Rhinolophus ferrumequinum: one gene and its partner. The protein of the gene in region 1 interacts with the protein of each later gene in a biochemical or structural test. Links are inferred from orthologs where the notes say so. Each region holds a gene or a part of one and is shown on either strand. Other genes may lie near its edges.

Region 1 (8,170 bases):
GGCAGTGGAAGCCAGTTCCAACTCTTTCAGGCCTGATAATTCTCAGACATGGCGGAGAAACATGGGTCTAGATCCATGGAGCTTCTTTGGTATTGAGAGGGGAAAGCCTGGTACCAGAGGAATGGTGATTGTTATCCCTTCATGTATGTCCTGTACGGAGGACATATTCTGAATTCATTAGTACAGTTGCATCCTGCATCAAATAAACTGCTAAACCATGAAGATGAGATCATTTGAGTTGTGGTGTGCAGCTTTCAGTCCTCTTAAATAAATATTCCTTCCCTCCTATCTTTAGACCCGCAAAATCCTGTCTGCCTGTGAGAAGAACCCCACAGATGTCTACCAGCTCAATTATGACATGCACAACCCTTTCGATATCTGTGCTGCATCTTATCGGCCCATCTACCGTGGAAAGCCAGTGGAGAAATGTCCACTCAGTGGAGCCTGCTATTGCCCGGAGTTCAAGGGTCAAATCTGCAGGGTCACTACAGTAAGTACTGTCCTTGAGAAATGCATCCAGAATATTGAGGGAAGGTGAACGAGAAAGAAGCATGTTGGTCCTTTTTCTCCTCTATTTGCCCCTAGCTCCTGGAGACAGTGATACTGGAGAAAGCTAGAACTTCTCCCCATTGCTCTTTACCAATCAGTAACAAACAATAACAAATCACTCTACTGTGCTCATTGAGGAGTGGAGGGAGTAAGCTTTCTAGGCTTCTCACCCTCACAAACCCGTAAATTTTTCTTGTTTCCTCTTCTACAGGTGACAGAGATTGGCAAAGATGTGATTGGTTTAAGGATTAGTCCTCTGCAGTTTCGCTAAGGCCCTCTTTGTGTGTAAAGGGTCAATCACCATACCATCCGCCTCCCACTGCCCCAGAGAATTAGTCTCTGTGTCCTTGTAACTCCCTGTTCCTTAACTACCTTTCAAATTGACATTTAGCTCTCCCTACCCTAAAATGTAGTGTCCTTTTCTCTTCTTCTGTGGCTAATCAAATGTCTAAACTTGACTTTTCTTTTTTTTTTTTTTTGCCTTTGAGGACCTTTCATTCTTTCAAGGTCACTACTATAGTTGCAGTCACAATTGCAGTCACAGTTGAACTTGCCTTCCCAGCTTAGCTCTTTCAAGAAACAAATGAAAACTTAGTGGTGAACATTTGTTTAGTAAATTCCTTCAATATTTATCTTTTTCCTCTTCACCACCTTTTTTCCTTTTTTGCTAGAAAGGAATGGGATATAATAAATAAGATAGCATCTTTTGCTCAATCACAGCAAACTCTTAGCCATCCCCCATTTTAAACTCCCAGGCAGGTACCCTCTGTGTGCCCAGAAACTTAAAGTCTAAGAAGAAACTTTGGCTTTTCAAAAACGCACATCCCTTTTTATTGATTTGTTCTTTACAACCATTGTTCTTATTTTTTGTTTCTCACACTAAATAAATTTCTACAAGAATTTTATGGCTTGCTATTTGTTTCCTGGATACGCTCATGTTCCTGCTTACTCCATGCAGCTGCCCCACCAAAGCAGATGTCTTTCCTTCGATAATTATTTCTAATTACAAAATAATAAATACCCGTTGTTAAATTTTTTTTCCCATAGGATATATTAAACTGCTATGAGAATGGTAGAAAGTAAGTGGCTCCCTCATTTCATCATTGAACTGCATCCTTCTATCTATTGCTGATTATACCAATATTTATTGAGCACCTGTAACTGTTCTGGATGTTTTATATATCAGATTAATTAGTATTAAACACGTTGTATTTATTACAATTATTATATTAGCAATACAGTATTTTGCTTGTTATGTGCTAAGACTATACAGTGACATGCTGTGCCTTTGATTAAAGTATGTACTTTTTCATTTTAAATTCATGTTTTCAATAAACAGTACACTCATATGATTCAAAAATCAGTAAATGTAAAAAGCTATTTTGTGACGTCTTCCTCCCATCCCTTTCCTCAGCCACATAGTTCCTATCACCTTCCCCAAAACAAGAAACCACTGTTGTTAGCTTCCTTATCCTTCCAGAGATTTATGTATATACAAACAGATAGGAATATGTTTCTCCCTATCCCCCTGTTATACATAAATGGAAGCAGGCTATTTAAAGATTTTGCACCTTATTAATGTTTTCACTTAACATATTTTAGGGATTTTTTTTTCATCTCATTATATTAGAGAGCTTCACTCTTTTTTACTTCTTTGCATAGTGTACCATGTATTATTTACTACGATTTATGTAAGTTGCCTTCTTGATGGATATTTGAGTTATTTCCAGTCTATCTCTGGCTATTATAACAAGGCTGCAATGAATAACTTGAACACACATTATACAGGTGGGGGATAAACTAGAAATGGAATTCCTACGTCAAAGAGCACAGGCCTTTATTTTTCTTTTTAGCTTTAAGAGTCGCTTTCTAAACATAGTATCCCCAAGCTGAGCCTGTTTTTTCAAAAATTTGCATACTACTTTGATAACATTTTCTCAAGTTATAAGCATTCTTTATATATATATAAATTTTTTTATTTTTATTGTTTATTGTTTTAACTTTTAATGGGGGAATACTGGGGAACAGTGTGTTTCTCCAGGGCTTATCAGCTCCAAGTCGTCGTCCTTCAGTCTAGTGGAGGGCACAGCTCAGCTCCAAGTCCAGTCACTGTTTTCAATCTTTAGTTACAGGGGGCGCAGCCCACCATCCCATGTGGGAATTGAACCAGCAACCTTATTGTTAAGAGCTCACACTCTAACCAATTGAGCCATCCGGCCGCCCCTCTGGCAGCTCAGCGACCGCTCGTTGCCTTCAATCTAGTTGTGGAGGGCGCAGCTCTCTGGCCAATGTGGGAATTGAACTGGCAACCCTGTTGTTCAGAGCACGCGCTCTAACCAACTGAGCCATCTGGCCGCCCTGCATTCTTTCTGTAAACAAGCAAATTGGTGATACATTTTGGCAAAAAAATTTTTTTCTATGTTTAAAAATTAAATTACAAAATTAACTTCACATATAAATATAAACATTCTGAACTCAGGGATATGAAAAAAGTGTGCAATCTGTGCCTCTTGAAGCTTAGGGAATTGGGGAAACAACATGGATATATGTGAAATAATTGTGAATACCGGGCAAGAATTTGAAGTCGGTAAATAAACAGTGGAAAGCCATTATATCCTTAAGCGAGAGAGTGATATAAAAAAAAATGCTGTAAATTACTTTTTTGCAACAGTGTTCACTATACATTAGAAAGGCAGAAGGTGAGTAAATATGAGATGAAGTGTTAGGAGTATCAGTAGTAAAAACAAAAGCAGAAGCAAGTTTAAGATACAAAGCAAAGAACCGTGCTTGTTTAGAACTCCATCTTAATCTTCTCAATTACCATCTAGTATTTTCCTTAACATGATTATATAGCCACATTAATGAAAAGCCAATAGAAATGCCTGTTATATTTTTAAACATGCACTTGATATACCATGCTTCCCTGAAAATAAGACCTAACTGGAAAATCAGCTCTAATGTATCTTTTGGAACAAAAATTAATATAAGACCCGGTCTTATTTTACTATAAGACCGGGTCTTATATTAATTTTTGTTCCAAAAGACATTAGAGCTGATTGCCCAGCGAGGTCTTATTTTCGGGGAAACACGGTAGTTATAGTTATATTAGGCATACACATGTAAGCAGTTTGGAATTGAATGAGCAAGTTAGCCTGTAATAAATTGTTACAAGTGTTGATTATAGAACTATTGAAAAGTACCTTGGAGTCCCAACTGTATTGTTACATACTTGTAATCTGAGGTCTAAATTGGTGAAGGGTTTTGAACAGAGTAATTTATTGACAGAGTTGGGTCTCCCAGTTCAGAATGTGTTCTCCCAAGTCACACTACTTGTGCTTAGAAGAATACAGTAGTTTTTGCACAGGTATGATTTTACAAGTCTGTGCCCTATCTGTAAAGGAAAGAAAACGTACCTAATCTGGTGCTTGACACAGTATTCAAGTGTTTGGAAAGCTAAGGATGAAAGTCATGAAGTGACTCTTTTCATTCTGATGTGATTTCTCCCTTTTAAACTTTATGGCACTTTACCCTGAGCTTTTTAAAGACACTTTCCTTGTGCCATTCTTACTGTGTGTATGTGTAGTCCTACCTCCAGCCTAATCCCCAGTCAGCAAGGGCTGATCCTGATTTATCTCTATCTTCCACTGTGAGCTGCAACAGGTCTTAAACAACAGCAGATGTCCTGTAAGTGCTAAAATAGATTTGTGTCTGAAGCAGTTTATGTATTATGACAGATCTGAATAGGAGAACAATCTCAGAGGAGGAAAGGGATGTCTAGAGTTGTCTCTATGTGAGCCTCTCCAACTTCACTCCATTGGAGGTTGCGTTCTGTACAGAGAAAAGGAGATGGATCAGGGAAGGCAGGTCTATTACTACTACATTCAAATTGCCCTCTTGTTCAGTCCAAGGTCCCAGAGTCTCATTTCCTGCCTGAATTGATTCAACCAACATTGAGTCGTAACAAGTCCTGGCCCTGTGTCCTTTAGTCTAACAGTTCTAATGGAGAATAGGAAAGGAGAGATGTCCATTAGGTCCCACAGAGAAACGTGTTTCATAAGGATCTGGGAGAACAAAGGATGGCCAATGAATGCCTACTAAGTTTTAGGCCCTAGCCTAGGAGCTGAGAATACAGCATTGAAGACAACAGGACGAAAATCCTTGCCATCACGGTGTTGAAATTCTAGGGGGGAGGGGTGGAACTGGGAAGGGGAGACAATAAGCAATATAAGTAAAATATATATTATGTCAGAAAGAGTTAAGTACTGAAAAAAATAATGGAAGAGCTACTTCTCTGGGTAATCAGGGAAACTGAATGAAAGGAAGCCAGGCCAGTAAGAAACCTAGCAAAAGATAACAGTAAGTTTCTATGTTAGTTCAATGATTCCTGGCGTAAGGGGAAAAAACCCACCCCAAATCGAGTTTCCTGTCCCTTTGGGGCGGCTCCGTACTGCCCCAAATTAGTATTGGTCGCAGAGGCGGAAAGGGTGGAGCGCGGGGGGCCTAGCGGAATCCCGCCTCCTACGGCGAGTCAGAGGTAGCAAGATGGCCGCCGCGGAGGAGGACTGTGCGGTCAGCGCCGAAGCGGACCGGGAATTGGAAGAGCTTCTGGAAAGTAAGAGTCCATAATGGAAAGAACCGAGGAGGGCGGGTATGAGAACCCATTCAAGGAGTTAAGTGAGCCTGAGATATTTGGGGCGGAGCGGGGAAGGCTGTCCAAAGATTGGACGGGTGCGGAGGGTCTGACTGCGATCCCGATTTCTGGGTCCCCCTCATCTTCCTCCGCGGCGGGAGCTGCGGCCTTCACGTTGGGCCCCTGAGAGCCCAGACCGTTGATCTCTCTGCCAGAGGGGAAACAGTAACCCAGGGGACTGCGTTTGACGATCCAGTTCCAAACCCTCCTTCCCTTTAGTAAGTTCTTGAAGTCGAACTTCATTCGGTCCTCGGTGGGCAGCAAACCAGACACTCGCAGATTGCTTACATTAACTCTTAACAAGCCCGTAGCTCACTCTGCTATGCACTGCCTTATCCTTAACATAAAAGACACTTTCCTGCTCCCAGTCCTTTCACCTTTGTCTCACCAGGCCCCTTTTCAGTTATTTCATCAGGTCAAAGCTGAAGCCGACTCCCTTGCCATTATTTTGAAAAATAGAGGATGAGAAGGTCTCAAGGAAGACAGTTCACCCTACTGAAAGAGGGTGGATGTTCTTTTCTTCCTGAACCCTGTCCTCCACTCCTCTTGGTTTCTTGCCCAGAGTGGAGCCAGTGCCCTTCCCCTAGGCCTGGCAAGCAGAAGGTAGTGAGGACACAGGCTTTTCAGGGCAGAGGTGAATATTTTTTTGTCTCTTGCCCAGTCACAGAGATGTGGGCAGGTGGAAGGACAACAGAAACAGTGAATAAGTGATTCAGCAACAGTGCCAAGTGATTCTGTGTGAATTATCTGCTCACAGTTATCTGCAGAGATGGGGCCAGAGGGAACTAGCTCTAGGAGCTTTGCCCAGGGAGGCCTAAGTTGAAGGATAAGAAAAGAGAGTTTAATGCCCTTCCCTGGAGTGCAGTATGGAGTCCCTCAGTTTCTAGTTGTATCAGGATCCATGAGGAGCTGGGTGGGACATTTGTGGCTTTTGCTTTCTTGCAGAAGATTATTCCTTTCAGGGATCCAGAGTGAGTTCAGGGGGTTAAGGACATTTGTGTTCTCTGTGCCTGTTAGATATTTGTATAAGATTTCTAGGGAATCATTAGAGTGTGGCAGGGAAGGCACTGTGTAGATGGAGATGTCTCTGCAGAACTTCTTTTAACCCTCTCCTCCCAGCTCTGAGAGAGATGCCTGTTCCTTAAGATGTTTCTTCCCCTTTGATCATAATAAATTAGGTAATGGGGAGGTAAGTGGGAGGCTTACTGAGGGGAGGGCCAGGAAAGGGACACTCAGAAAAAGAAAAATTTAGGAACGTGGGCAGTTTGAAAAATTGTTCTCTCAGTGCTTTACCCAGAAACCCCTCATTCCTTCATCCTCATCCATCCCCAAAACTCATACCATGTCTCTTGTCTCTGAAGGTGCTCTTGATGATTTCGATAAGGCCAAACCCTCCCCAGCACCCCCTCCTACCACTACAGCCCCTGATGCTTCAGGGACCCAGAAGAGATCGCCAGGAGACACTGCCAAAGTATAAATTCTACCCATTTAAGGGAGGGGAGGGGATGGCATGCAACTCTGAGCAGAGGTGGGGCAGGCCCCAGTGGGCCAGAGGGGAGTGAGGGGAGGGTGCCTTGGCCTCACACTGCTGAGTGCTCTTGCAGGCCTCAGTCCTTGTGAAACAGGGAATTGACTTGAGGTGGAGTTTAGAGATCTCAAGGGGATTCCTTAAGAAAGGAAATTTAAATGATTGGTTTGGGAATACCACTCCATACTGACAGATACCTTCTTGCTGTCCTTATTAAGAGAGGTCATTAGAATGTTCAGTGAAAGTGGGTAGGAAGAAGACACTGCATTTCTCAGAGCCTCTGCCTGTGGTTTCTGTCAGAAACCAGGTGCAGTGCAGTGCCAAGTAAGAGATGCATTTTGGCCACTCCTCCCCTGCAGGATGCCCTCTTCGCCTCCCAAGAGAAGTTTTTCCAGGAACTTTTCGACAGCGAGCTGGCTTCCCAAGCCACTGCAGAGTTCGAGAAGGCAATGAAGGAGTTGGCTGAGGAAGAGCCCCACCTGGTGGAACAGTTCCAAAAGCTCTCAGAGGCTGCTGGGAGAGTGGGTGAGGGGGGTGCCTGACAACTGGAAATATCTGAACAAATCTCTTCTTAAGTCATCGTTGCTTGAAAACCCCAAAATTCTTAGTGAAGTTGATAGTCATGATACCACTTCTATGGGGGTAGGGCAAGGAGATGGGAGGAAGGATGGGCACGCTGCTTAATGAAAGGGGTGAAATAAGTGGAAAGTAATAGGAAAGATTATTGAAAGCTGGTCATGTAAATGGTCGCAGTGTTTTCGAAGGTGTCATCATGGAGAACAAACTGACATGTAGTCCATGTAGATTGGTGAAAATGACTATAAAGATAACTATAAAGATTTGGAGTAATCGTGACTCACTAGTAAATGCTCCATGTCCAAGCTGGTAACCAGGTCAGCCTAGGTAAGCAAACAGTTAAAATCCTTAATGACCTTGGTTCTTTTGATCTCTTAGGCAGTGATGCGACTTCCCAACAAGAATTCACTTCTTGCCTAAAGGAGACACTAAGTGGACTAGCCAAAAATGCCACTGATCTGCAGGTGAGGGGGGGTGGGCAGGAATGGAACCACAAGGGGCCCACTCCTAGACACTTCACCAGCAGATTCTCAAAGACAGAGTTTCTTGGGTATCATCTCAAGTCTGTCTCTGCCTCACTGTTTTGCTATAGGCAAGTTTAAATAGTTCTTTCCCACCTGAAAGGGTAGTAAGCATCCCAAGAAGGCAATGTACTTGCTCATCTCTCTCCTGTCCTTTTTAGAACTCAGGCATGTCAGAAGAGGAGTTGACCAAAGCCATGGAAGGGTTGGGCATGGATGAAGGGGAAGGGGAAGGCAACATCCTCCCCATCATGCAGAGTATCATGCAGAACCTACTGTCCAAGGATGTGTTGTACCCATCACTGA
Region 2 (7,634 bases), on another chromosome or scaffold:
TCAGACAGACAGTTCATATCCTAGCTTGCTCACTTAATAGCTGTGTAACTTTGGGCAGGTTGCTTAACCTCTCTGTGCCTCAGTTTCTTCATCTGAAAATAGAGACAATCATAGTATGTACTTACCTAATAGATCACTATGAGGATTATATGAGAGGTTGACATATAATAATGCTATATGAATATTAGATATAATTATTTCCAAAATAATAGAAACAACTAATACATAGGAAAAATGACTACTGTTGCTAACTCCTGGGCATATTTTAAAAATTATAAGAAACTGTGTGTTCATGTTTATACAGCTATATGTGTGTGTGTGTATATACGTATATATACACATATATAATTACTATCTGTCTCTGAAAAAAAATCACTACTAGGATCAAATATATTTCATAAAATGTTACATATTTTATATGGAAGTATTCTATTAAATGTCAAAGCTCTCTGTATTTTACCATAAATGTTAAAGATCTCTGTATATTACTTTTGTTGTTATTAATAGCAGTAAATAATGATTTTGATAGCATTTACTTCTAGAGGATTGCAAATGCCTCTGTAAGTAAAATGATAATATAGAAAACAGAAAAAGAAAAAAAGGCAACCAAATCCACAATGCTTCCACTTAATAGAAGATCTCAGGACTATCACCCCCCTCTGTTACATCTCACTAATATCTGGTGAGAAGCACTATTTTGTGATATTCTGTCTAGATACTCTTTAGGAAAGGTCTGTACAAACAGTAAACGCACCAGAGAATTGCTCCACAAAGATATGACTATATTAAACGCTACATATAATCACTTAAAAAAGAACTTACATTTTATGGTAATGGAAATTCCAAAATCAACATTATCAGTAATTATTATAGTTTTTTAAATTTAATGAAGTTATGGATAGATATTTGCCTTCTAATGTACAGGCATTCATTTAAAAACTTTCTTAACTTAAAAAAAATGAAAATACCTCATAGGAAAGTTTGTAAGGTGCATGAAAATCCACACCACAGAATCTGAAGATACATCTTGGACAAGTCCCAGTACTGAGCAACAACTGGGCCACATGCTTGTTTTCCTCAGTCAGCGGGAACATATTGAATAATTATAACTAGAAAGAAATAAAAAGTAAAGCTAATGATCATCTTTCGTGTTTTACTTCACAGACAAATATGTTATCACCTTTAGGGATAAAAACTAGCTATTATTTGAAAAACGCTATTTCATACTTTCCAATAATGTCCCTTTCATTATGTGCATATTGAAACATAAACGTGAAGGAAATTAGATGAATCAGGTAAAAGTTTCTAACTGTCAAGGAATTTAGTTTAGCATTCTGGATTATGATAAAGTACATCAATATAACTAAATCAATCAAAAGAAATAAAAATAAAATTATTAATAAAGAATGGTTTTCTCTGACATGGGTAATGAAAACAAGAGTACAGAGTAAAAATTTGCTTTTTATTTCGTACCATTTAGTATTTTTGAGAACACAGAGTAGTAAATTCAATAAACTTTTCCTATTATAAATGAAAAATGAGTTTGCTAGAAAAAAAATCACATAAATCTATATTGTATAATTCTTGACTAACCGTCATGATAGCTAAGCAGTCAAGTATTTAAAACAAATTGATCAGTAGATCCAAAAATGTCAATTTTACTTTGATGAAATAACTAAATGACAACCACCAGCAAAAGGAGAAAAATCTTTTCACACACAAGTAAAACCTCCAACAAAAACAAATTAAACACAAAATATTTAAGAGTAATTGTTATCTGAAACAAGTTGCTACTTTTTGCAACTTTTTTTTTTTATAAACTCGCTTAGAAACAAATACTACATAGAGAAGAGGGGATCCAATGTAACTCTCTTGTTGCCAGGAAGGAGGGGTATTAAAAATTAAATTACCTAATCAGTCTGTTTGGCAAAAATAGATGTTCTTCTGATTAATGAAGCAGTCCACATTACTTTACAATGAGGAACTAGCAATGTTTTGTAAAACAATGATTGTATGGTAATGTGGTATGGTTTACTGTGGTCACACTGATACAAGACTGTAGTAACTTTTAATTTGTGCAGTTTCATTAATTCAAATGAACTTGCTTAAAATTTGTGGGAGGCTGAAGCTCTTATTAACTGCTTACTATGAAAATGTAATTTTCAGAATTTGTGTTTTTTCAGCCCTTTAAAACCCACTACTTACTTGCAAGTTTCTAAATGTTTGTGGCCACTTATCAAGAGTAGATCCTTGACACAAAATAATGAGGAAGACAGGTATATAATTCTACAAAACTCTTCACCATAAAAAACAGTTCAGCAGCCAGGACTACAAAAAAACAAACAAACAACCACAAACAGATTGCCTCTAGCTGGGTTCTAGCTAGAATATGTGAGTTGGCAGGGAGAGGAAGAGAAGAAAATTAGGACACACCAGACTGGGAAACACCAATTTAAGGTTGTGTAAGTAAATCTGGGCTCCGGGAAATTTTCATGAAAGTACACAATATTCGGAGAACACTCTCTACATGATGAACTCTGTGTGGTCATTATTTTTGACAAGTGATCTGAATCCTTTCCCAGTCCTTTTAACCTGCTAGTTTGATGCTGAGAAAGGGTTGAGATTCTGTGAGGGGCTGATTATCAGCCTTTAAAGTGTATCCCTCACTGCACTCCCCTCACAGAGGAACTGTTTCTGTTTCACCCTTTATTTTATCTTTACTCCTTTCCATTGGTTAAGGTCGAGGATTTCATTTAATTCAGAATTAACCTTTAACTCAGAAAGAGAAACAAATAACCCCTCCTCCCCAGTAAATAAAGAGATGAGTAAGTGCTTAAAAAGACAGTTTGTATCAATGATTTCCCTGGAGACTGAAGTTAAATAGTTTTATTAAAATGTATACTTTCTTTCCTTCTGCTTAAAGACAATGTTTATTTCTCCAATAGGTTCACTAGAATAAAGTTATCACGCAAGGTATGATACATTACCTCTTTGCTCTGAGAAGTTCCCAAACCTTTTGAGAATTAGGAAACCTCCTGTCCTGAGTAATTTGAAGAGGTCTTAAACAAAACAAAACAACAACAAAAACACTATTGAGTGTGTATGTGTTATTAATTGAATGGACTTAACAAAGCTCTCAAGAACACTTTCACTTAGCAACAATCTAGCGGCTTCACAAGAACGTTAACACTGAAAGGAGGAAATACGCCATGCCTTAAATTTGGTTGTTTCATTTTATATACAGCACTGAAATGATAGGATTTCATAAAGACATCAGAAATCGGTTGTTCCATATGAGGTTTATTATCTTTGAAAGCAAGCCCTGAGAAATGCATCTCATTGTTGGTTGCCTTTAAGATTTTTGCTTTTCGTTTACGTGTTTGTTTTACAGAAAGAAATGGAACCAGTCATTGCAACAAAACTTTCTCCCATGTGTCAGGATCCCCAAGGGGACAGAGTCCCTTCTCCAAAACCAATAATAACTAGCCCAGACTCTGGTTTACTGGAGGAAAGGAAGAACTTTTTTTTCACCTCTCGGAATATTACAGAAACAATTCATTGCAAATAGAGAAGGAGCAAGGCATGTGAAAAACCACCAAAACAACCAGGCTGTCTCACTTCCCGTGATATTTTAAAACTCATTCCATACTGCAGGGTGTCATTCGTCTCGTGGGGGTGGGGTGGGGTGTGGATTTCCAAAGAAGGAGGCGCTGACAACTCCATTTCGCTACGGATGCACTCAGCTGTGGAATCCACTCTAAACCCCCGGAAATTCATCCAAGATCTAACCTCGACTCTCTTTTTTAGCCAGACAAGACCTTTCCCCCGCTTCTGTCAAGTTCAAAAAACTTCCCACTCAGTCATCCTTGCTAACAAAGATCCTCCACGCAGGAAGAAAACGACCCCCTCCATCCACACCTCTCCTGCACCCAGTCCGCACCCCTTGACCTCAGATCTCCCTGCCTCACCTTCTCCCACGACGCCGGAGCCTGAGATTTAACCCTTTACGGTCCTCACAGGGAACGGGGAAGACTAAAGACAACGCACCTATTGCGCTAGAAATTGTGTTCCCCGAGGAAACGAGAGCTTTAGAAATGAAAGTACCAGCCCCTCTCGGGAGGACTGAGTGAACTGTCCCCTGCTTGTTAGCAGAAATACCAGTAAAACCGCCTGGCCTGCTGCCACACACCCCGCCTCTCCCGCGGGTGTAGGGGTGCCTGGAACGCAATTCCGGGCCTAAACCGGACAAGTCCCCGAGAAGCCTCCGAGAGACTCCGATGTCTAAGACATTGTAGCAGCTGCCCGAAATATCGATGAACCCTTACCTTATCGGTGAAGTTTAGAATAGAAATTCTTTCTAGGGCAAATGAGAGCCTTCCCTCCGCCCTACCCCCCACGATAGTGACATCCTCCTATCCTCTGGTCCTAGCTGGCAAAACACCACAGCCAAGTATTGACTGCTGGTGTGGGCCGGGTAGAAGGCTCGGTGTTCTGCCCATTGTGCCTGGTGCGCGAGGTGCGGGTGCACTCAGGCCTGGAGAGTCCAAACTCCCAGCGGCAGCCGAGAGGAGGCGGAGGAGATGGCGTCCCAGCCGCCGCCTCCCCCGAAGCCCTGGGAGATCCGCCGAATTCCGGGGGCCGGGCCGGGACCAGGACCCGGCCCCAATTTCCAGTAAGTGTGGGATACTTTAGGCCGCGAATTTGGTGGGCCGGAGCGGGGAATTGGCTGGAGGCGGTTGAGGCCGTTGTTGGGGCCAGGTTTCCCCTCCCCCTCTCTACCAGCCCCCTAACCTTGCGGGGTAGAGATGGGGCCCAGGGCGGCCTAAGGGGAGAATTTCGGTGTCTGACAGCAGTTTCTGACCCGACTTCTCTCGGTAGCGACGTTCTTCTGGGAGCTCCTGGGTGTCTCTCTGGATCCCAGTGCTTGGAAGAAAGGGAGCGGCTTCCTACCCCTTTCTGTTTGCGGGACACCTTGACGGTACCGCTGGACCCCCTTTTAAAGCGTTAGACTCTTGATCTGTAACAGGAGAGTGGCGTTTGCCTAGTCCCAGCTCGATGGGGAGAACAGTCTCTCTAAAGCTTTTACTCTCTCGAGCTGTTGAAAGCCGAAAAGGTCACTTTTACGCAGCTGAAACCTAAGCCACTACACTTTCCGTTCTTTTCCAGCATAACTCTGCAACGTTTCGGGCAGAGATTTTGAGAAGCAACTTTAAAGCGGGAGTTCTAAATCTGAGGCTTTTGGATGGCCTCTGTGTGTAAAATAGTGTGTGATTTTTCCAAGGCCTGTGTTTTTTTGTTTGCTTTTAGTCAGTATTAAATAGATCTACAACTCAAGAATTGGAATAGCATAAAGAAAAGAGTTTCACAGCCTTATGTGTTTTGCGTTGGGTGGATCTGGACATCTTAATTCAGATAATTAGACTCGAATGTCACAACACCTAACACACACAAATCCCTGACATAATGGAATGTATTTCTGCTCTATTCCAAAATGTTGTAGTCTTTTATTTAAACGCTAAGATGCTTGAACACAACAGCTACTTAATTTAATAATAATAAATACTTAGCAATTAATAAGCTTTAATTATGCGGTTAAGCCGTGGTGACAGTTTGTACTACCCTTTTTATAAGTGATTTGACTTATTAAAAAAATCTAGACAGCTCTTTGGAAGAGAGGGGTTTTATTTTTGCATTTGTTAAATTTCTGTTTATCTAAAATGAACCATTTCCCCCCTTTTTTTCATTGTGAATTATTTTAAATGCATAGAGACCGATAGAGAGTAAGATGATGAATACATGTGTATTCACTCCAACCTTTAAGAAATAATGTTTTGCCAGATTTGCCTCAGATTAAAAAAAAAAAATTAAAGAAACAGATAAACTCTCTCATTCCTCTTTCCTGCAGTAACTACTGCACCTATTTGGTGTTTAGGATACCCAACAGTTTTTATACTTTATTTTATATTTTAGTACTTAGGTTTGTATGTACATTTTACGTACCATGTTTCCCCGAAAGTAATACCTAGCCGGTCTTATTTTCGGGGAAACATGGTATATATGACTATATTAAAAGTATATACGAAGTCTGACAATTAAGTTCACGAATTTGTTGCAACGAAGTTGCTAACCTTTTTTGATATCAGAGGGATTATTCACTATGAATTTGTACCAACTGGACAAACAGTTAACCAAGTTTGCTATTTGGAAGTGCTGAAAAGGCTGCATGAAAAAGTTACATGACCTGAACTTTTCGCCAACAATTCATGGTTCTTGCATCATGACAGTGCACCAGCTCACACGGCACTGTCTGTGAGGGACTTTTTAGCCAGTAAACAAATAACTATATTGGAACACCCTCCCTACTCACCTGATCTGGCCCCCAGTGACTTCTTTCTTTACCCGAAGATAAAGCAAATATTGGAAGGAAGACATTTTGATGACATTCAGGACATCAAGGGTAATACGACGACAGCTCTGATGGCCATTCCAGAAAAGAGTTCCAAAGTTGCTTTGAAGGGTGGACTAGGTGCTGGCATCAGTGCATAGCTTCCCAAGGGGAGTACTTCAAAGGTGACCATAGTGATATTCAGCAGTGAGGTATGTAGCACTTTTTCTAGGATGAGTTCGTTAGCGTAAATTGTCAGCCTCGTATACACATTTATATTTTTTCCTCCTGCTGAGTAGCTACAGTATTCATGCTCAGTACCCCAGTGTTCAGCCCAAGGATACATACCTTTCTTTAATTCAGGAAAATTCTTACCATTTATATCTCTAAGTATTGTTTGAGCACTATTCTTTCACATCTCTTCTTCTGAAACTGCTATTAAACATTAGATCAAGAATAGTTTCTTCTACAAGTAACAATTTATGATTTGCTATGCTGTGGACTATTAAGACATTTATTGTTTAATTAGCAAGAAGTGAAGAGATCTGTTAATTCAACATTGTCATCAAGGGACCTACATTTTTCATGGCTTCCTTTTTTTTTTTTTTTTTCTTTCCCTGTCAGCTTTCTAACAGTTTTGGTCATCTCAGTCTTATTCTTACTCCTTCAAAAGGAATCTTTTTTCTTCTGGGTGCTTTCAAGATTTTCTCTTTGTTTTTGGTTTTCAGGAGTTACACTTTGTTAAACCTCACTGGTTTTCTTTGTGTTCTTTTTTTTGGGGGGGGGAGTTTCAAGAATCATAGAGATTCTTGAATCTGACTTGATGTCTTTCATTAGTTTCAGAAAAGTCTCTGAGACATGATCTCTTTAAATATTGCTTCTGCCCATCATTTCACTCCTTCGAATACAATCACATATATTCACTGTACATCTGTATCTGGCACTTTTTTGTTTGTATGCTTTTGTTACTCATGCTCCATTCTGGGTATATTTTTCTGAAGAACTCTCTTCTAGTTCACTGATATTTTTCCTTCAGTCTGTCTAATCTGGTGTTAACCATTCATTGACTTCATGGTTTCAGGTATTTTTTTAGTTTTAGAATTTCCATTTGGTTCTGCTTTATAATTTCTATTCTCTGCTGAAAACTCTCAATCTTGTCTTTTTTCCTTGAATATATTGATCAGAGTTGTTTAAAGTTTCTGCATAATAACTCCATTATCTATATACTTTCTGGATGTCTTTGTATTAT

The links.
Region 2: the proteins of PEX19 (region 1) and PEX13 form a complex in vitro, tested with the Homo sapiens proteins (2 studies listed by BioGRID and IntAct, with this or other methods). The link is inferred for Rhinolophus ferrumequinum from reciprocal best matches to the Homo sapiens genes PEX19 and PEX13.

What each region holds. Positions count from the first base shown.
Region 1 is NC_046305.1:28,254,455-28,262,624, forward strand, and holds the start of PEX19 (peroxisomal biogenesis factor 19), read left to right. Parts: upstream 1-5,078; 5' UTR 5,079-5,091; coding exon of another isoform or gene 5,092-5,161; intron 5,162-5,642; 5' UTR 5,643-5,701; coding exon 5,702-5,873; intron 5,874-6,600; coding exon 6,601-6,710; intron 6,711-7,126; coding exon 7,127-7,292; intron 7,293-7,721; coding exon 7,722-7,807; intron 7,808-8,025; coding exon 8,026-8,170. Other genes in the region: COPA (coatomer subunit alpha), read left to right, coding at 296-490, 761-820. UniProt on the Homo sapiens protein: Necessary for early peroxisomal biogenesis. Acts both as a cytosolic chaperone and as an import receptor for peroxisomal membrane proteins (PMPs).
Region 2 is NC_046296.1:27,975,782-27,983,415, reverse strand, and holds the start of PEX13 (peroxisome biogenesis factor 13), read left to right. Parts: upstream 1-4,391; 5' UTR 4,392-4,580; coding exon 4,581-4,672; intron 4,673-7,634. Other genes in the region: tRNA pseudouridine synthase Pus10, read right to left, coding at 969-1,094. UniProt on the Homo sapiens protein: Component of the PEX13-PEX14 docking complex, a translocon channel that specifically mediates the import of peroxisomal cargo proteins bound to PEX5 receptor.